Alligator mississippiensis: one gene and its partners. The protein of the gene in region 1 purifies or fractionates together with the protein of each later gene. This does not show direct contact. Links are inferred from orthologs where the notes say so. Each region holds a gene or a part of one and is shown in the gene's direction. Other genes may lie near its edges.

Region 1 (3,745 bases):
TCATAAGCATGTTTCAGAATTAAATTGAAGCACTTTTAATCTGCCATTTCTGAGATTCAGCATGCTCTTCTGTTGACCATTTGAAGGGTGGGAGCGGAGTTGCATGTTTTCTGTGTGTATGCGCTAAATGTAATTTTTAACTTATCGTTAATTTCAGGTATGTACAGTTGTTCCAAACCAGGGTCAGATAAGGAAATGGACCAGGGTTAGGCTGATCTAAATGCCCAATCATTCAAGTGCTCAGAGGTCTTAAATTGGGCAAAAAAGGCATGCCTGATTTAAATGTTGTTCACCTAAGTAGGTGTACAAGCATATATTGATATTCTGCTAACCTGATTTAGGAAACCTGAGCTTGTGAACATCTGCATGTGTTTATGGTGCAGCCCCAGGGCTGGGGAAGCCCCAGCCACTTTCCCCAGCCTGGGGCCATGCTAGTCCCCCTGCCCCACTAGCTGCCTATACCTAGATTGGGTGTGGTGACCTTAAGATTGCTTGGAGTTGATACTCTGGCATTTGTCTTGGTGTGTCTACTTCATGATGATCTTATCTTTGTAGCTTACATGAAAACAAACGTTGGGATTTTCATATCAGCAGTGGGGTTTCACCAGCGATCTGCTAAAATGAAAGGAAGATGTAGTGCTTAAATTCCTTGTACGTCTTTGAAATACCCAAACTAAAATATGTAACTGGTACCTGCCTTCAGAACAGTTTATTACAGATAGCTTTTCATAGAAAAAAAAAAATCAGAGAAGCAAAGTGCTTTATCAATGGTCATTGTTGTTTGTAGCTAACAGGAGTATGTATACAGCTTTTAAAGGACGTTGCTTGAAACTTCAGCAGGCTATTTGTTTAGAACAGCAGAGGGCAATCGCCACAGGTTCTTTCCTACCTTCAGCCCTGTAGAGTTTTTAACTTGCTATAGTTTTGAAAACAGGAAGGAAAAGAATTAACTTTTTGTTAAGAACACCCAGCAGTATATTGGTACCTTTATAAATAGGGACCTCTCTCTAATCATTTGAGCCCACATTGTTTGCATATATTCTTTAATACTGAAAAGTTTACTTGTTTCCTGAGTGGCTCACACTGTTGCAGTTTGTCAAGTTCTCCTCTTAAAAAAAACAAATTCTCCCCTCCCACCCTCCCTTTCAAATCCCAGCATGCAGTTCTCATGAGTGTACTTGCAGGCACTTCCTTTCCATCCTCATTTTCCTGTTTTTAAACATAAAGCTTGAACATGAGCATCCAGACATGTAAAAAACTTCAGTGGAAAAAGCATATGTTTTCTATGCCTGGGGATATTGACATCCAGGCTTGCTCTCTTCTACCAGGTGAGTAAGTATTTAAGACATAAGTGTATTTTCAAGACCAGAGGACAAAAAAAAGTAAATGAATGTTATTTCTGTCTACCTTTATCTGATGTAAGTTTTCTAAGTCTAATAGCAACATGTCATTGAAGACAGGCAGGAAACAGTCCAAGGAAAAGACGGTTTACAATCTGCTGTTTGTGGCACAACTCCGTTTTAAGTACTGTGTGAATTGTGGCTGGCTAAACACTCTCAGATCCGTTCACCTTCAGCTGTTTTTTAATCTAAATATTTCTTCTCAGCATACATTTGGTGAAAGTTCTCCTATTCTTTCACTGGTTGGCTTCCTTTGAAACCATGTAAAAATTAAACATGAGAGGAAGCTGGACAGTTTTGCTAATGTTTCTTTTTATCAGAAAGGAAACTACATCATTTTCAGTTGATGATCTTGTTGACTGCACTTTTATAGTGTTCTGCTCATTGTGATTGCTGAGCATATTGAATTAACATACATCCTTAACTTCACCACCATTTACATTCCAGTAAAGATGAATGAAATCTGATGTAATGAAAAATAAAGTAGGTGGACTTTTGGTAGAGAAGAAACTGGGACCACTCTTTCTTTTTTTGTTGAGACTTTTTAGGGATTGCTAGTTCCAGTGGTATGGGGCCAAAGCCAAAAAAAACGTGACTAGCAGAGCAGTGTCAGTGTGAAGACATCCACATAGGTGAATCTCAGTGTTCTAGATGACATTATGCCTCTGACAGGGCATGGTATTTCAGACCTTAAGGGCCTCATGCCAGTCAGCTTGGAGACTGATTATTTGATAATATAAAGTGACTCCATTGACTCCAAACTAGCTAAGCAACAGAGAGTTTAGCCCATCTGTTTTATTTCATTTCAGTTTTGACCTGAATTTTGGATACTAGAACAAGAGAGGAATTTCAGATTTTAAGTGAAGTGATATAATATGATCTATTTACAGTCTCATAAATATGTACATAGATCTGGAGCAATGGAGCTGATCTGGTGTTTAAGCAGAATAAATGAGATCTGCATCTAGCCCTTATTCTTTTAAGGGCCTAATCCAGCCTAAACTTCCATTTTAGCTGATGTAAATTTCTGGGCATGCTCAGTGGATTTAGTTATAACTTTACAAGTGCCTTGAGATCCTTTTGAGGGTGCCATAAATTGCCACAGAATGTTAGCACTGTTAAGTTTACAAACATGATTCACAAAAACCCAGAGATTTCCTATATAAATCCATAGTCGTGGTCTTTCTGAGTTTTTTACAGAGAAAAAAAGCTCTGTTTTTTTTCTGTAGTTAAAAATGAGTGAAAACTAGTTGGCATTTTCTGAAGGGTGCCTCAAATATGTCCAGGGATGCCTCCGGTCTCAGAAGATTGAGAACTGCTGCACTAGGGAGCTGTGTGTTCACCCTGGCTGAGAATCATTGCTCTAGTTATACACGGATGAGTTTCTAAGCGTGCTCAGTCCAAACTGTGAATAGGGATGGAGTACAAATGTAAACCCTCCTAGTTAAATTTTTGCTAATTGCTTCTCTAAGTGCTAGATGTGTGTTAATATGCAGAATTTTGTGTTGGTTTAAAAGCTTCTCGTAGAGAGAATTAGCTTTCTTCCCATAAGGTTAAAGTTCATTACTGCGCTGTCAAATTCATTACTGCATTGTCCAAAATATCTGTAATGCTCATTTGGAGTGTGTGAAGGACATATACATTGACTGGGAACATCTATGTGTGCATTAATGCACTTTTCCTAATATGCATTAAATTTAGTGCCTCCAATAAGAGGTACTAAATAAATGCGCATTTAGGTTGCACTAATGTGCAGTAGTGTAAGCACATGCTTTTTAGGTGATGCTTAATGTGCAATAGCTTATTCTATTGCTCATTAGCATATTAGCACTTTTTTTATGCACCACTTTAATGCACAGTAGAATAGGCTGCTGCACGTTAAGGCACACACAGACATGCCACAGATACTTTAAAATGACCCCAGGGAAAGGAATTAAAATTGATAGAGAAAGATTAGGATAGATTGGATTTGGGAATGGGGAAGGGGGAGGAAGAGAACACTGGAAACTAAATAGAAAAGCTAAATGCAAATAGTTTCTCAAACTCCATTTCGTTCAGTTTTGAAGAGAACAAGCAAGCTGAAATATTGTAAGGATGAAAAAAAGAGAAGTCAATATGAGGGTAAAATACCCTTCTGAGTATAGGTGGAAAACAAAAGAATAAAATAAAATAAAATATTTTATTTTGTTCTTTTATTCTTTTGGGGAATAAAATACAGAAGGTGGGAAAGCGTAGATGTAAAGTTTTAAACAAGCTTAGAAAGCATGTTGTATGCAGTATTTGGTTATATGGTTTACTTGTGGCTAGCTGTTTCTAGAAAATGCACAAATTTGTAAATGTTCTAG
Region 2 (3,745 bases), on another chromosome or scaffold:
GACACGCCTATTGCCCACATAGCCTTCAACCCCCGGCAGCCCACGCAGCTGCTCCTACACGACACGTACATGCTCTGCATCCTGGACAAGTCCCTGGTGAGTCTGCGCCCTGCCACCTGCCTGGACAAGGTGGGGGGGCAGGTGGTTCTCCGGGGCTGGCCCCTGCAGCCTCTCTGACCAGGAGTCCTGTGGCCACGTCCTTGGTTGTGGCTGGGACAAGGGTGCTTTGCGGGAGTCATTGTCTGTGGGAATGGCTTGGGTGTTGTGCTCTGGTCATAAGCCTGCAGGATTCAGTGTGGCGCTGGACACAGAACAGGCCTCTGCCTACCTGAGCACCACAAGGCTCATCCCCTTGCGTGGGGCAGGACTGCAACTCCTGGGGAACAGCCTCCCTCCAGCCCACCCTGCCACCTCCTCAGAGAGCTTGGTTCTCCGGGTGCTTGGCTATGCTCCTACGGAGCAGAGACCCCCTTAAAAGCCCTGGGGGGTGCCTGAGGGTGGGCACAGCGTCCCCCACATCAGGAAACCTCAACCCATGCCGTCTCCCCAGCCCCTGCCCGATGACAACACCCAGCTGAACAACCAGGCCTTGCTCAAGCAGCTCTCAGAGAAGGCCCGCCGGGGCCACGCTCACGCCTTCAAGATCTGCAAGAAGTACCAGGTCTGTGCCCTGGGGCTGCATGGGGTGCGGGGCACTGGCTTGACCTCTCCAGGGGTGCTGCCCTGTTCAGCCGCAGCAGTGCAGCTGCTTGCGGCGGGGCCATGCACGCCACTTCCCCATCAGTGGAGCCGTGAGCTGGGTCTTGTGGGCTCCTGTGCTCCCAGAGCCACTCTGACCCCGTGCTTCTTGCTGCCCTGCAGCCCCTGTTGTTCATGGACCTGCTGGACGAGGACTGCCTGGTGGTGGTGGAGCGGCCCCTGACGGACATCCAGACCCAGCTGCCCCCACCCGTCCAGCAGAAGAAGTTCGGCACGTAGGGCGGAGCGGGTCACGGACACTATGCTGCCATGCTCCGGTGCTGCTGCAATAAACCCCCGTGGTTCCCCAGGGCTGTGCTCTTCCTCCGCAGCTCCCTGCTTTCCTCGTGGCACGGCGCAGCCAGGTGGGGCTGGGGGCTGCAGTCACCCGGTGTGTCCTGGGTGTGTTGCTCCCTGTGCGGGGAGCAGTGACCACGCTGCTGGGAGCACAGTTGCTTGGGAGAACGACGACAGCAGGCGCAGGGGCCCCAGGAGGGCCCAGCGTCCTTCCTGAGAGTCAGGGCCAGGCATGGCTGGCGCAGAGCACTGCCCCTGCCCTACGGGTAATGCAGTGTAGCAAAAGTCCAGCAGCCCTTCCCCAGGGATGCCCTGGGCTCAGGGCTGCTCTTCTCCCTCCTTCTCTCTGGGCCTGCTGCCAGGCACCGAACCTGGCTGTGCTCCCCTGCTCACGGCCTCCCCAGGCTGCAGCAGGGACAATCCTGCTGTAACCAGGCTGCCGGAGCTGGAAACCGAAGCTGCTGGGGGGAGGCAGGGACTGGCTGCCTCCTCTCCCAGCTGCCAGCCTGCTGCGTGCTCCTAGCAGGTGTTGGAGGCACGGGACGCTGCCATGCTCGACACCCCAGGGCGGTGCTGACTCAGGGCCACTGGCTGGTCTTCTGCCTGTGCTTACCCCGGCAGGGCCTGCCCAGCGGGTCAGAGTGGCTCTGGGTGAAGCTGGTGCAGGATACTGGGACGTGGGGGTGGACCATGGGCCCCTCCCTTAGCTGCAGCCTGGCTCAGTCTTTCCATCTGCAAAAGGGGGAGAGTGACACCCCTTTGCAGTGTGGAAACAACCCCTTCTCCCTCCACCTTGTGCCTCGATTTCCCCCCTGCACTTCCCGGAGCCTCCCCTGGGGGGCGCCGCAGCCCTCCTCCCCGCTGGCCTCATTCATATTTATCAGTACGGGGCCTGAGCAAGACCCGCCCCCCTTGGGGAGGATGTGGCTGTCCCACCTCCCGCCCCTGGGGGGCGGGGCTGGCCGCCTCGCCGCGCGCCTCCGCCAATGGGAGACGAGCCTCCTCATTAGCCTTGCAAAGTGTGCGGGGGGCGCGGCGGGAGGGCGGCGTGCGCGGGCAGTCGCGCGGGGCGGGCGGCGGCGGCGGGTCCGGGCCGGCGGGGGCCCCGCCATGGCCGTGTGGACCCGCGCCTCCAAGGCGGGGCTGCTGGAGCTGCTGCTGCGGGAGCGCTGGGTGCGGGTGGTGGCCGAGCTGAGCGGCGAGGCGCTCACCCTCACGTCGGAGCCGGCCGAGCCGCCCGGGGAGCCCGCGCTGCCCAATGGTGCTGGGCCGGGCGAGTCGCCGGGCAGCCCCGGGTCGGGCGTGCGGCGCGTGCGGGTGCTGAAGGCCGAGGCGGGCGGGCTGGGCATCAGCATCAAGGGCGGGCGCGAGAACCGCATGCCCGTGCTCATCTCCCGCATCTTCCCCGGGCTGGCGGCTGAGCGCTGCGGGGCGCTGCGCCTGGGCGACGCCATCCTGGCCGTCAACGGCCTCGACCTGCGCGACGCCACCCACGACCAGGCCGTGCAGGCGCTCAAGCGGGCCGGCCGCGACGTGCTGCTCGAAGGTACCTGCCCCCGGCCCGGCTTCCCTCCTACCTGCCCCCGGCCCAGCCTCCCTGCACAGCTGGGCCACCCCGTCCCCCTCCCCTGCTCCTGCAGGCACCGCAGGGAGCAACGACCGGGCAGGGCGGTGGCTGGTGGTTGTAGGGCTGGTCCCTGCCCCATTGCTCTGTCTCTAGGCGAGTGCTGGGTGCTGCACGCGAGGAGGTGTTCAGGCGGTGGGAACAAGCCTCGCCCAGCAGAAATATCTTTGGTTTTCCAAAGGGCCGGGGCTCGTGGCACTCCCAGGGTCGGCGCTGGCTCGTGCGTGGGTGGCAGAGCAGGGGGAGGATGGCTAGGAGGTGTTGTTGGCCTTGGCGCGTTGTGAACTCAAACCCTCTCGCTTGGGCCCTGATGGCAAGCTTTTGCACGGCTGCTCCAGGGCAGGAGAGGGGTCGAAACCCCTCGGCATCAGCCGGGGCGAGACGGCCCCGCTCGGCTGGAGAAGCGCGGAGCTGCGGCGAGAAGCAATGTCAATCCGCGGGTGCTGCCGTCTGCGCCGGCCTGGCTGAGGCCATATCGGGCAGGACGCAGCTCGCACACTGCTGCTGCGCGCCCGGAAAGAATGCGGTCCTCGCTGGAGCCCGGGATTGCGTGCGCGTGCGGGGCCTGCTTCTGCGGCTCTTGCTTTGTTGCCGTAATTCGGTGGCTCGAGGAGCTGATGGCATAGGTTATTGGTCCCTGACGGCCTCACGTCGGCACTTGCGAGAAGGGGGAAGCCCAGCAGCTTCTCTCTGCACGGAGCAGAAAGCAGAAGCTTAAGCATGTCCGGTGTGTTGGGGAAATCGGGAGAAACCCGGGTTCCTGGAGAGGCTGTGCTGTGACTCGGCGTGCTGGGCTGTGGTGGCAGATCCACGGTGCCCGCGCTCCTCGGCTGTGGTTTCCTGCAGGGGTTGGCTCCTGTGATTCTTTTGCTGATGGAGAGCTGAGGGAAGGGAGCTGGAGCAAACGCCCTCCCCACGGTATTGCACCCAGCCTGCACCAGGTGAAGCCCGCTGGCCTGTGCTGCCCGTTCCTGCGGCCGTGATGGCCCCCTCCCGCGGGGCTGCGGCTAGTGCTGGGCTGCGGTGCTCTTGCCGCAGGGGTGCCGGCTGCAGTCCCGTGGGAGGCCGGGTCAGCCAGGTGGGTGG
Region 3 (3,745 bases), on another chromosome or scaffold:
TGCATTTGAAGATGTTGTTTTTATTTATTTTATTACCACGGTCTTTAGGAGTACTAGCCACGTACCAGAATCCCATGTTGTTAGACAACATACAAATACAGAATTTGTTCAGGAGAGTTCATCATGTAAACCAACTGTAACACAAGAGATCACATATAACAGGTGAGCACATGTAAAGGATGAGTATTGATCAGCACGCTAGGCAATATAGTACATCACCAGCTTGCCTGTTTGAGTTTTCTGTAGGCATCGCAGCAAAGGAGAGTCGCAAGAAGAATCTGAAGGGGGGTGGTAATGAGGTGGCTTTGTGGATACTTACCACATGAGAAGCACTTGGATGAAGCATAAAGATGTTTGTTGAAAAATCCAGCAAGTAGGCAATGGAGGGTGACATTATAAAGCACTTAACAACTTAGGTCATGCGTGATCCACGGGTTGTTTCTTTCTCCCAGTGAAGCTGCTTCAATTGAGATTCAGCTAAAGGAGCCAGCAGTTCTCTGGTTCATCATACCAGGTGGGATAGTGGGTATTTTCAGTGAAGGAATTAACCCTGTTTTGCTTTCTGGTAAGAGCCTGACTTTAACAATCTTCTATTCTCTAAGTTCGTCTTTTCTCTGTTTTTTTTTCCGATGGTTTGTACCAGGATGACAGACATTGTGATTCTTGCTCGGGTCTTGCAAGCAGCTGTGCACAGAGCTGCCCATGCTGGGAGCACAGCTGTGTGCACATGGAGCAGCTTGTGGGATCACGCTTTGGTGGGGGGCGTTGAACCGGATTTGTTTTGGCTGTTTTTCCTAGCAGGTTGTATCACAGTAATATCCCCAGCAAATTTCCCCAGGAGAAAATGTGTGAGAGCGTGTACGTCTGTGTGTATGTGTGCGTGTTTTAAACTCAGTCACTCTGTCCCAGAAAGACAGCATCCCAGTCGCTGTAACTGCTTTCAACTTCACTCTTCCAAATAGCACCGTAATGACGGGTGGATCCAGGATTTTGAGAAAAAGGGTGCAGATGGTGTCGTACACGTTTCTCCAGTGAAAAAGAAATGAGAAGCTTCACTAATCAGCTAGGGGCCTGGAGCTATAGTTACTCAATTTAAAATGGAAGGAAAAAAAACCCAAACACTTTATTGGAGTGCCCATGAAAACTTGCGATGTCCTCTATTACCTAGAAGTCCCAACTCGACCAAGAATCACCCCAAGACACCGTGTCATTAGTCCTGTCGTCATAAAACCAAGCCTCCCCTTCTGGCCCCGGTGCCGGCGACCCGCGCGGCCCCTCACAGCGCGGACGGCCGCGTCCCCCGGAGCTGCCCCGCGCCGCAGCGCCTCTTTCTAGCTGCCGTTCACACCGGGTCGCGAGTCGCTCCGGCGAGGGCGCCCTTCCCACCTGTGGGACCGGGCCGAGGACGAGGAGCCCTGCCACCCTGTTTGCAACTTCGGCACCGGAGCCCCTGGGGGGAGGGCGGGAAGAGGAGGAGGAGGAGGGGCCGCCGCGCCCCGCCCCGCCCCGCCCCGTCCGCGGAGCGAAGTCCCGCGCTGCGCCGCGCCGCGCCGTGCAGTGCCGAGCCGCGCCGCGCCGAGCCGTGCCGGGTGCCGGTGTGTGCAATCACATGGTATTTTAAGAATGCTCCAAAGATGGCGGTAGCGGCGGGCGCGGGCGCGGGCGCGGGCGCGGGCGGCGGCCGGGCGCAGCGCAGCGGCTGGCTGGAAGTTTTGGTGCGGGAGCGCTGGCACCGGGTGCTGGTGCACCTGGGCGAGGATGCGCTGGTGCTCAGCTGCGACGAGCGCCCCGACGGCGCGGCCCACAACGGCCTGGGCGGCAACGGGGCGTCCCCGGGCGGCAGCCCCACGGCGGCGGGGGTGCGCACCGCCTTCACCGACCCGCCCGAGCAGGTGCCCGAGAGCCTGTCCAACCAGAAGCGGCGGGTGAAGGTGCTGAAGCAGGAGCTGGGCGGGCTGGGCATCAGCATCAAGGGCGGCAAGGAGAACAAGATGCCCATCCTCATCAGCAAGATCTTCAAGGGGCTGGCGGCCGACCAGACCCAGGCGCTGTACGTGGGCGATGCCATCCTGGCTGTCAATGGCACGGACCTGCGGGACGCCACGCACGACGAGGCGGTGCAGGCGCTCAAGCGGGCGGGCAAGGAGGTGCTGCTGGAAGGTAAAGGGTTAATGCGCCGAGGAGGGTTCCCCCCCACCCCCCCCAGCCCTGGTGCACGTGTGTTGGGTTAAGTGGAGTGACTCCGGTTTGGGGCTGGCTGGTCCCTGCTGGAAGGTAAAGGGTTAATGTGCTTGGGGGTCCCCCCCTAGCCCCAGGATGCATGAGTGCTGTGTGCGGCACGGAAGGGCTTAAATGGAGTGACTCCGGTTTGAGGCTGGCTGGTCTCTGCTGCCTGTGCCCTGGAGGTGCCAGGGGCAAGTGGGGTGGGGGCTGAGGGTCTCTGAGCTCTGCCCCCTCGGCCAGGGCCGGACGCAGGCACCCGCTCGGGGTCTGGACAGAAAGGGGGCCTGAAAATGGTATTTTTTAATTATGATTATCATTCTCTCTGGCAAAGGGGGGCAATACTAAAAGTTCGTCCGGGGCCACCAGAAGTGTAGGTGCCACCCCAGCCCGCTGAGCCTTGTGCCATGTCTCTGCAGTGACCCACGTGTGGATTGAAAGCGGCACCAGCGCCTTTTCATCCAGGCAAGCGCTAGGTTTGACTGGGCAGGGAGGAGTTAACAGCACCTGGGATCTCGGAGGCTGACAGCCCGGCCACTTTCACTCAGCCAGGAGAGAGAAACGAGCAGATCAGGTCGTGCAGGGCTGTGCCAACCCGCCTGGCCTGGAACGACTGAAATGTGCCCCCCACGCGCACAATGCCCCAGTTTATGCAAAGGGAGAGAATAAACTTGAGGGGACCTGGCCAGGGTCTCCCTGAAACATTCATTTCAAAACACGCAAAGCAGAGACTTTCCTTTCCCAAGCGCGAGACAGCCTTTTAGAAACCGCCCTCGAGACGGAGTCCAACATGCACAGTGCTCTAAAGCTTTGGCACACACCTCCGAGGACACCCAGCTGAAAGCAAGCGCTCCAAGGGTACGAAACAGGGGACAATGAGCTCAGGATCAGAAACAAAAATCTTCAGGCTTAGAAAAAGAAGAGTTTAACCCCCCCCCCCCCTTTTTGCTGGAGGGTTAATGTATTTACTAGATTTGAGAGAAGGAACAGCTGAAAAGAAGGGGAAAAAAACTCGGTGTACATTAGAGAGAAAATGCCCTTGGTGCCCATGTTTGATTAAAGTACCTGCTTGTTTGCACGTAAGTTCATTTATCGAAGGGTCATTGGCATTTGTGGAGCGGTGTGACACGCCTGCTTCTGGATTTTTTTTTTCTTTATCTCCTGTTTTGCTTTGAAATAGATTTGCTCAGTCATTTTTCAAGTGGTCCTTCTGATATTTCTAAACCACAGCAGCTTCTGATGTGCCGCTTTTGAATTACTAAGGAACTTTGGGACCCTCTTGCGGAGCCATGGGGAATTGGACCGCAGCCTCAGGGGTGCATTTGAGGTCGCATGCAAATTACTGAATGTGGGGTATGAAAAGGAAATGCCGTAAAAGCTTCTCTGGGGAGTTGGGGAGGAAAAGTAAACTCTAGCGGGGTCTTTGGCAGTAAAAAATGAGCAACCCATTGATCTGCTCTGCATCTTCTGCAGTGGAAAGTAACTGTACATCCTGTGGATCAGGAGGAATTAGCCAGCACTAAGT

What was found.
Region 2: the proteins of UTRN (region 1) and SNTB2 purify together in Homo sapiens (affinity purification with mass spectrometry; 4 studies listed by BioGRID and IntAct, with this or other methods). This does not show direct contact. The link is inferred for Alligator mississippiensis from reciprocal best matches to the Homo sapiens genes UTRN and SNTB2.
Region 3: the proteins of UTRN (region 1) and SNTB1 purify together in Homo sapiens (affinity purification with mass spectrometry; 3 studies listed by BioGRID and IntAct, with this or other methods). This does not show direct contact. The link is inferred for Alligator mississippiensis from reciprocal best matches to the Homo sapiens genes UTRN and SNTB1.

Annotation. Positions count from the first base shown.
Region 1 is NC_081824.1:124,457,990-124,461,734, forward strand, and holds the start of UTRN (utrophin), read left to right. Parts: upstream 1-1,219; 5' UTR 1,220-1,234; coding exon 1,235-1,328; intron 1,329-3,745.
Region 2 is NC_081833.1:76,224,608-76,228,352, forward strand, and holds the start of SNTB2 (beta-2-syntrophin), read left to right. Parts: upstream 1-1,124; 5' UTR 1,125-1,725; coding exon 1,726-2,581; intron 2,582-3,745. Other genes in the region: UTP4 (U3 small nucleolar RNA-associated protein 4 homolog), read left to right, coding at 1-96, 551-661, 862-978. UniProt on the Homo sapiens protein: Adapter protein that binds to and probably organizes the subcellular localization of a variety of membrane proteins. May link various receptors to the actin cytoskeleton and the dystrophin glycoprotein complex.
Region 3 is NC_081826.1:22,277,889-22,281,633, forward strand, and holds the start of SNTB1 (beta-1-syntrophin), read left to right. Parts: upstream 1-1,553; 5' UTR 1,554-1,634; coding exon 1,635-2,160; intron 2,161-3,745. UniProt on the Homo sapiens protein: Adapter protein that binds to and probably organizes the subcellular localization of a variety of membrane proteins. May link various receptors to the actin cytoskeleton and the dystrophin glycoprotein complex.